Schizosaccharomyces pombe: one gene and its partner. The gene in region 2 interacts genetically with the main gene of each other region. Each region holds a gene or a part of one and is shown on either strand. Other genes may lie near its edges.

Region 1 (4,810 bases), on a different chromosome or scaffold from region 2:
CTCCTGTCAAAGCTTCATCGCAACTACAATCACCTAATACTTCTATTCAAATAAGGCCTCAAGAACAACTTATTAACAAACCTGGATATATAATTCTCCGCTTATCAAGTGAAAAGTTATCACGGTTTGCCAATGACTTTCCCCGTATGGTCCCTAGCATGGGGTCTACAGAAACGAGTGTAGGAGATCAAGTGGAGGTTGTGGGAGATACTACAAATGTTCCAATTGATGGTATGCTAAAGTTTTACATTTACCAGAAAATTTATTAACGTGCTTTTAGATTCTAATCTGATTACGGAGGCAGAGGTAATGAAGGCTTTAAGAGCTGGTCCCATTTCTATTAAGGATCTAGTTCACCTGTTCCAACGCAAAATTAGAGCCGACAACAGAAATCGGTTGGGAATACAGAAGATCATTCGAAAGGTTGCTCGATTTGAGAACAAGCTACTCGTTTTAAAAAACTAGTTATGAATTATCTATGTAATAACGTTTATATATTAATGAACATTAAAGAAAACATTTGTTTTATTTTTGGAAACAAAATTCAAAATTGCATTAATTTAAGAGCATAGTAGAACTATTACAATTTAACATTTCCCCTAAAATAGAAAACGTCGGATTGTTAAGAAGTGCACTCGTCGATCGGTATAGTATCAAATACACGAGTTTACGATCGCGATGTTCAACTATGCTACTATATAACTGTAAATGTGTATAAAATATATAAAGAAGAAAAATAACAAACCATTTCTTTAAGACATGGTAAACAGCTGTGCTAAGAATTCTATATACACAAGTCATTATATAAAATCATTCCATGATGCCGTATGTCGTAATGATAATAAGAAAAGGGGGTTGTAAACAATTATACATTAAAGCCGTTAAAATTAGCAGCCTACAAAGGTAGCTCGAAGCTAACATTCACATCGGCTTCACGTGCCATTTCGACAACGCGACTGAAACGACAAGCCTTCTTAGCTGCTTCATCAAGATCATCAAATGAGAAAATACGGAGACCTGAGTTGTTGATTACCTCTTTGGCAGCACCTTGGTTGGTTCCTTGAAGTCTGCAAATAATAGGTATGTTCAGATTCAACGCTGATACTACCGAGATAAGACCTTTGGCAATAACGTCGCATCGAACAATACCTCCAAAAATGTTCACAAAGATAGCAGTAGTTTTGGGATCATTAGTGATGAGAGAGAATGCCTCACGAATTGCTTCAGCATTAGCATTACCACCGACATCAAGGAAATTAGCAGGTTCACCACCATGAAGTTTGATGATATCCATAGTGGCCATTGCGAGACCAGCACCATTGACCAAACAACCAATGTTACCGTCCAATTTGATAAAGTTCAACCCAACCTTGGCAGCCCTAGCCTCATCAGGATCTTCTTGAGAAATGTCCCGCAAAACGAAAATGTTGGAATGACGAAATTCGGCATTATCGTCAAAGTTCAGCTTAGCATCCATGCACAACACCTTGTGATCAGTAGTTTCAGCAAGGGGATTAATCTCTACTTGTGTAGCATCACAATCATTGAATACTTTGTAAAGTTTGACGATTGCGTCAACGGCCTTTGGCTTGCTAGAAGAGGAAAAGCCGAGTTTGTCAACAAGTTCTTCTGCGATATGAGGGTCAAGATTTGGACTGTTGGGAAGAGATCGTTTGATGATAGCGCTAGGATTTTCAGCTGCTACAGTCTCAATGTCAACACCTCCTTGGTCGGAGGCGACTATCATGGGGCATTGGTTCTCACGATCCATTAAAATAGCGAAGTAATACTCTTTACGAATAAACTTCCTCTCGCAAACATAGACAACATTGCAAATCTTTCCAGCAGGACCAGTTTGTCTGGTAATTAACTTATGACCGATCATTTGTTCAGCAAACATTCTCGCTTCTGTAGCATCATAAACAGGCCGTACTCCTCCACGCAGGCCACTGTCAAATTGGCCCTTTCCACGACCGCCTGCTAGAACTTGAGCTTTAACTACCAAATCTGTGACTTTAAGATCACGAGCAACCTTTTCTGCCTCTTCACCGCTCCGAGCAGGAGCACCACGAGGAACGTCCACACCAAACTTTCTGAGAATATCATGAGAAATATATTCATGTAAAGCTAGATTTCTTTTTTGTAAAAAGGGAGAAAAAGCGCGAGGTGCTTTTCTCAGCACACTTCTGGTTAACATGGTAGGAAAGTTGGATTGAGAGAATCTAGCGATGAACTTAAACAATTCTTTGATAAATATATGAGAAGCGTAGCATACAGATACACGTTCTTTTAAAAAATATATATAGAGAGAGTCTCCTCCTAAACTACAACAAAGAGTAGGCTGTAGAAAGACCAATACTTGGGTGTGAGTGATATTGTACGTGTAAACGATATGATATATCTGCCATGACTGGACAGCAAACATAGTAAATTGCATCGCATAACGCAAATTTGTTATTCGTTGATAGAAATATTGTTAACATACAGTATTTTAAGTAACGATATGCAGCAAAGAGTACTAGAGTCGCTATCCACGATGAATACATTCAGCATGAAAGATGAGCATCATAATCGTGAAATTACAAATGGCATTTTTTTTATCAAACACAAATAAAGCTACTTGCATTTGATGAATTGCTATATGCACACAATGAGAGTAATCTACCAACAAATTATGATAGCGACACAAATCATACATTATGTCAGCAATACTACACTACGCTATGATACACTACGTTGTGTATCACTATATGTCACATGTTCTAATTATATATCGTACCATGTATGATACGATATGGAGATTGATCTTAATGATAATCTATTAAGATCAATATTATCTGAATACTATAAATAGAGCTACTGCTGAATCTCGTTCCTCAGTTCAGTTATGAGCTATATTAGTGATAGGTAACATTATAACCCAGTTAATACAATACCTATACTCAGTTGCTACTTATACAACCTGTGTATTGTAATATAATAGATCACAAGGAAAACTCACCGTAGCTCTACGTATCCTTAAATCAGATACCAAACTTCGTAGCTTACACATTATCTTGTTTTACGCGTTGCGTAATAGCGTCGTGTGCAATGTTAAGTATTCAGCAGTTTCAATGAATCATCATCTATTTACACTGGCTTTTGTAAAGGATTTGTTAATATAAAAGAATGGCATGTAAGCGATTCTTTTCTAATGTTAATAGATTTTCGAATTCAATGAATGGAATTAAAATATCTTAAACTATTGTAAGACAGAAAGCTCCGATTTGGCAAGATTTTAAGTGACCTATTTGGATATAAAATTTTATATTAAGTTAGTTTTTCGATAGCGTTTAAAGAATTTCCAGCATGTTGGTATTAGTATATAATCCTGAAATTTCGCATTCGCACACATGCAAATAAAATTTTTACCAAAGAAATTATTAATGTCGAATATTTTTAAGCTTCGTTAGATTATTAAGCTATCGGCTAGGTGCAATAAGGTAAACAAAAGTCGGTTAAGCAATTCTTTTCGTTTGCATAAGCATGTACTAAAACAATAACATGTAAATGACTAGGATGTGTAGAATTTTATAAAAAGGCATACTAACCATTCTGTTTTGAAGAGAAAGTTGAAAATTTCTTGATGAACGCTGAATCTCTAACACGGGAATACGAAGGTTGGTGCGATTCATGAAAGTTCATAATCGTATAAATGATCAAAATTTTAAAAAATTTAATAGATTGTGATATTAAAATATTTCAAAAAGCAAAAAGAATCGTATTTTAAAGAAGCAAACCCATAAGTGTATCAGAATATTACTTCAAGCGATTCACTAAAGTTGTCGCAATACAAAAGAGAAACAAAAAAAAAAAAAGCGAATATGCAGTGAAAGCCTATACCTGATTTAAAAATATTCACATTTTTGCTTTAGTACCCTTTGAAGGAATAGATTTGTTGATTTACTTCTCTATTATGATTGCAGTCGCCATCATTCAAGGCTGAGCGTTGTTCAAAATGTGAAGCCAATGGTTTTTTTTTTCTAGCAAAATCAATTAAAAATCTACTTCATCTGACCAAAATAGCAAAATCACAACTTTCGTCCAAAAGTCACTTTGTAAGATTCCCTCGGTAAGGCCGCGCTGCAAATCGATTGCGCTCATAGTTTCAAATAGCACAACTCGATAAAATTCGCAAACAAGTATAATGTAATACTTAATAACGTTATTTCATAGCACGATGCAAAACCGTGATTTGGATAGAGCTTCTCATAGAAACGAGCACTTGCGACTCTCCTAACCATAAGCAAAAATTATTCATTGTCAAGTGAGTCGTTGAAAGGTTAGACGTTATTAATTTATTAACATGGGCTGGTTTTTTCAAAAGGTTTGTAAAGGAGGATTTCTCAGTTTTTAGAGGCTCAAAGTCACTAACATGTGATTAGAAGAAGGAGTTCGATTTTGGTGGGGAGTTGGATCGATTGGAGATGAAGCTGGAAGAGGCTCAGTATAATATTGATAATATTCAAAGTCAAAAGAAAAAGATTTTATTTCGGTATACTGTGTGCTCTTTGGCAATCTATACGATTGGTATGGCAGTTTGGGCAAGTCGCTCATCCATCCTGTTCCAACATCCTTTATTCTCTAAGCTTTTTCGAATCTCTCTATACATCTTAGGTGTTTTTAGGTATGCATTGACATCTGCCGTACATTATAGTTAGGCATTGTACTGCTTTGGCATGAATTCACTCACTAATTTTTGTTTGTTTAGTCTTTACATGTTTCGATGGGCAATTGCGTGGTTTTGTGAAAAAAGATTGTCGCGTGCTAG
Region 2 (4,768 bases):
TAGTCATTTTAAAAGACATTCTGGGGACCCAAATTTTTTGAAGCTGTATAGGGAATCATTCACCCTAATCAATACCGTCAGTTTAGTGAGTGGTTGGTTAAAAATGCTGCATCAAAGGATTGATTATAAAATATTGACAGAGAAGGTAATGCACTTTAAAGATATGGAAGTACCATCTGCGACTGTTATAATTTCCATTAAGATGGCCCATCTTTTGGTAACCCCAAAGGCCCCATATTCATTCTCTGTTTTGCTCCAAGATCCTGAGTCGGAATTTTGTGTACATACTCGAGATGTTTATGACGAGCTAGTTCCCAATTGGAAAGAAACGTATCAGATGGAGATTACAAACGTAAAGCGTTTTAAATTAATTATATATCAGAGGAATATACACACTGGATTGGAGACTGTATATGGTCATGCAACACTAGAAGTTGATCCCGACAAACTTAAGCAAGGCCACGGAAAAGATGTTTGGCTTGATATCACTAATAAGGGACAAATTTTGATTGGGTTGCGTGTGCTCTTGAAGAGGGAAACACCAAATTATTACTGCTTTGCCCAAATGGAATACCTTACCGTTACTGAAGTAAAAATGCTAAATGTACTGATGATTTCTCTAAGTAAATTTATTCGAAATTCCTTAAGAAATAGTGGGTTAATGGATTTCGTGCGTTATCTTGATGGAGACGAAAATGATAACGCAGAGGCTGAGACTAAAGAAAAGATGGACGAGTTGCAGGCCCGGTGTGAAAAAGAGCAGCAGTCATTGTTGGCAGAGCTAGATGATTTTTTTTATTGGATTTATGTAAACTTGCTCCCGAAACCTCTTTTTTACTTGCTTTCGCGGCTTTGGTTTGGCTTGTTGGAGACATTTCGAGATATTTTAGTGCCTCCAGTCACAGATTCTACCCTAAGGAGAATTCCGTTGAATAAGCGTGAACTCAAAATGGTCTATTCGTGGTTACAATTGTTTTACGATTTTTTTCGGAATTTTCAAGATATTGCGCCATTTGATTTTTTGAATACCGATGAGTACAAAAGTGTGATGGCTATTAAAGACTATTATTTTGTAAAGTCTAAGGATGTCAAAAGAGTGAGTAGTTAGTTAACTACGGTAATGATGGAGACTTCTATTAATGTTTATTAATTTACTGAACGATACTTTTAATTTAATGAGCACAGTTGCTAATTTATTTTATATATATACAAATATGTATGTCATACGTCTATCATAAAGTCGCGTGTATTAGTTGCTAGGCTGAAATTATTTATTAAGCAGCTAGCTTATAACACTGCATTGTACACAAGAATAATGCTGAAAGCTAAAAATTAAGTTATGCTTACGATGATTACGCATTTTCTACAAAAATGAAACACACCATACAACCATAACAACAGGTTACAACAAAAGTCATAAATACATTTCTATGTAAACAAAAACAGATTTTTTTTAACGTAAAGCATACACATAACCGCACAGCCTTTAGAACGTCCAAACCATAAAAGCAAGTTATAATCATACATAAACATAACAAATGCCTTTAAGTCCCTTAGATAAGACACAAACATTAACCCTTGACTCAATGTCAGAGGCAATAGGAGATTAAAGTCGAATAATTACCAAAGGAACGGGAAAGGATTCCAAAAATTGCCATGAAGTTCAGGTAATGTTGGAATGCGGACATTGTGTACTTCGTCAGATTGCATCATTATATAACACAAATGGGAATACCTATAATAGATATACGTGGGCCATATGTTTTAACTCATTAAAGTCGGTGGTATAACTAGCCTCAACTAGTAGAATTAGTCATTTAGTTGACTTCTTTGTGCTTGCCATGTTCACGATGGGGAATGATTTTTCCGTCAGTCAAAATTTTAGTGACAACATCAACGTCCTTGCTAGTACCAAAGGTATTCTCAAGTTCTTGTTTGGAAGCAGTAATTAATTGACCTTCGTTACCTTTGTTGTTGCTAGTTGTAAAAACTTGAAAAGAGTCGACGATCTCAGTTAAGGGAACAGTCTTGTCCTTGCGCCATCTCATGACATCGGGACCGTTTGAGGCGATGATAATAAAGGTAGTATCCTCAGGTTGGTAACAAACACGGGTTTGGTTGGCCTTAGAGCTAGACATTTTGGAAGTATTGATAAATATATTAATAGACGGTTGGACAATGCAAAAAAATAAAATTTAATAGTCTTGTGAAAAGAGAGAACAAACTATAGAATTATCCAAATACAAACAAACAATTCTTATTTTTGTGTGAAACGATGCTCAACTAGGTTGGGAAAGGAAGTCCTTTTATAGTATTAGATTTGGGTGGAATAAATGCATTTTCCATCAATATGTCTAAACGTAAGTCTCTAACAGCGTCATAACATATTTACATCATTACTATGGGAAGCGAATAATGACATCAGGCGATATGTTTGTTTACCGTGTGTTAAATCCTTACAGTAAAATAATTAACGCACGATAGCACCTTTTGTCCTACACTACTTCATTACTCTCTCTGGTGCCCGACTTTTGTTTAGAGATGGTTTAGTGTGAAGTTAAGAAAAAAATGTTTCCCCTATATATTCAATCTCTTGGAAGATAAATAAAGGAGTAGTTTTTATTCAGTATTACACTTCATTTTTTCCTTTGATACGCTCACAAATCAATCTCTTTACACATGTAGCTTAAGAGGTGTCAATACCTACCTCTTTAATATGATAGTCAGTGTACATACTATTCTCATAACATTATCGCTAAAGAGTATACTGGAAAAACAAAACATCGTTATTTACAATAACACATTAGAAAGCCGGTGCGCAATCAACACTTAGTGACGTTGTAAACAATACGCAATCATCTGTTTAGTGATTTCACTCACGCAATGGCCCACGTCAGTAAGAGTTTGAAAGAGATGGATAATGGAGTACGTGACTGTTTGACTTTTTTCATGATCGAAACTTCTCGGCGATCTTTTGTTTACATTTTGGAAAATATCTTTTATCATTATGAAGAAAGGAAATTGGCTTATTTTGAATTCGGCTTTTTCTTAGTTTAAGGTTATTGTACTTTTAATTGCTGATTTGTTTCTTATGTACTTTATTCGACGACGTTGACACATCTGTTGGCTGATTCCACTATAATGACTTGACGCTACAGGCATTGTAACGATTAAAGTAGGTTAATGTTTGTCAGAGACATCTCATCCTATCTAAACATTTCGTATTTAGTCTGCTCATTTGGTTAACCTTTTACTGTACTTAGTATTTGACCGTTACACATTCGCTTTTCTCACGTGCTTTGGTTTTTGAGATGTTTGCAACGCACGCAACTTCAAATATCTTTATCTTTGACATTCATTATTATTAAGAGTTAATCGATACAATAAATAAAACTTTGAATGATATTATGGAATTCCGACGTGTGGAAATTTCTCCATCTTTGGCAGATACACGTCTACTGCTCTACAGTTGAAGGGAAATCACTTCGAAAAGGGTTTTCTGCCTCAAATCCTGACCGGGTAACCCCACATGCATTAAAGAATTCGTGCTGAAGAGCTGTTTTGGCCTTTACTCGTTTCGATGCTAGATAATTGTTAGCCATTCAATTTTTAATTAATTCCTGCCATGTTGTTTTATACAACTGGAGTTTGGAAATCAAGATACTAGTTTCAGAGTGGATAGCCCCAGGCTTCGTTAAAAAACCTAAAAAGCATCATAAAAGAAGACAATCCATGAATGAAACAATAAAAAAAAGGCCATTTCGGTTCGCGTTTTTTTTTGTCATTTAAGAATTTTCCTCCTAGTCCACTTCCTAGTATTTTGTTTTTGGGATTTGCACGTACGATGTAATTCTAATAACTTGTCCAACAAGTCAATGGCTAAAGCCACTTGATAATCTGAGCTTGTCTCTAAAATTAAATTCTCATCATTCTTCGTAATGCTAGCAATTAGGTCTAGCCAATTATGCTTTTGATCTAGTAGAGTCGGAATGTTATCTGACCAAATTTGTCCTGAGAGAAATACAAGTTAGCACCTCAAAAGTTGTCTCAAAAAGATTTGAAGCATTGGTTAGAAAACGATTTCTCTCTTCGTTTTTTCAACTTTTACGCTCAAGTGTTTAATAACTACTTACCATGTAATAATGCGCAGTTTGACATGCCATTTCTTCCAAAGATATGTGCTAATTCTACGATTGCATCGATATCATCTTCACAGCGGAAAAAAGGATATCGATGTGTTAAAAAACACAACAAAATGACTCCCACTGACCACACATCAATTGAGGATGTTTGATTTTGGCATCGAAACAATACCTCAGGCGCTCGAAATCCTCTTGTTCCGGCTCGGTCAGCACGTTTTGTAGGCCTTGGATCATGTAGCAAGTAACCCTCTGGAGGATCTGCTATCGTTTTCTCAAATGGAAAATAATCGTAATATTTTCCTTCTTGCTTCAGTTTTCTCAATTTATCGACACAGCAATTTTCTGTAGGTGCATCTGCCTCTTGCCATTGAGCTAATCCAAAGTCAAGTATGACTCCCCTTTGGGTGTAAGGATTCCAAGCAAAGTTACCTGGTTTGATATCTCGATGAATTATGCCCTTTGCATCTATATGTGCCAACCCTTTCAAGAGGTCTCTTAAGTACGCACCAATTTCTGGAAGAGAATATTTCATATAGAAGTCCCGGAACTCTGCATGTTGTATAAACGGTAGTACAATTAACACTTGATCTTGATGTCTTACAGCAGTTATCATATTTAGTACACAA

Evidence for each region. A genetic interaction does not mean that the proteins touch.
Region 1: mutations in rtc3 (region 2) and lsc2 together harm fitness more than expected from each alone (negative genetic interaction), as found in Schizosaccharomyces pombe (one large-scale study listed by BioGRID).

What each region holds. Positions count from the first base shown.
Region 1 is NC_003421.2:2,156,986-2,161,795, reverse strand, and holds lsc2 (succinate-CoA ligase beta subunit Lsc2), read right to left. Parts: upstream 2,368-4,810; 5' UTR 2,198-2,367; coding exon 896-2,197; 3' UTR 501-895; downstream 1-500. Other genes in the region: transcription factor TFIIF complex alpha subunit Tfg1, read left to right, coding at 1-231, 281-465; lnp1 (protein lunapark), read left to right, coding at 4,346-4,366, 4,425-4,666, 4,751-4,810.
Region 2 is NC_003423.3:3,827,537-3,832,304, reverse strand, and holds rtc3 (SBDS family protein Rtc3), read right to left. Parts: upstream 2,278-4,768; 5' UTR 2,139-2,277; coding exon 1,818-2,138; 3' UTR 1,403-1,817; downstream 1-1,402. Other genes in the region: C2 domain protein Git1, read left to right, coding at 1-1,108; serine/threonine protein kinase (DDK family) Spo4, read right to left, coding at 3,456-3,583, 3,844-4,011, 4,134-4,768.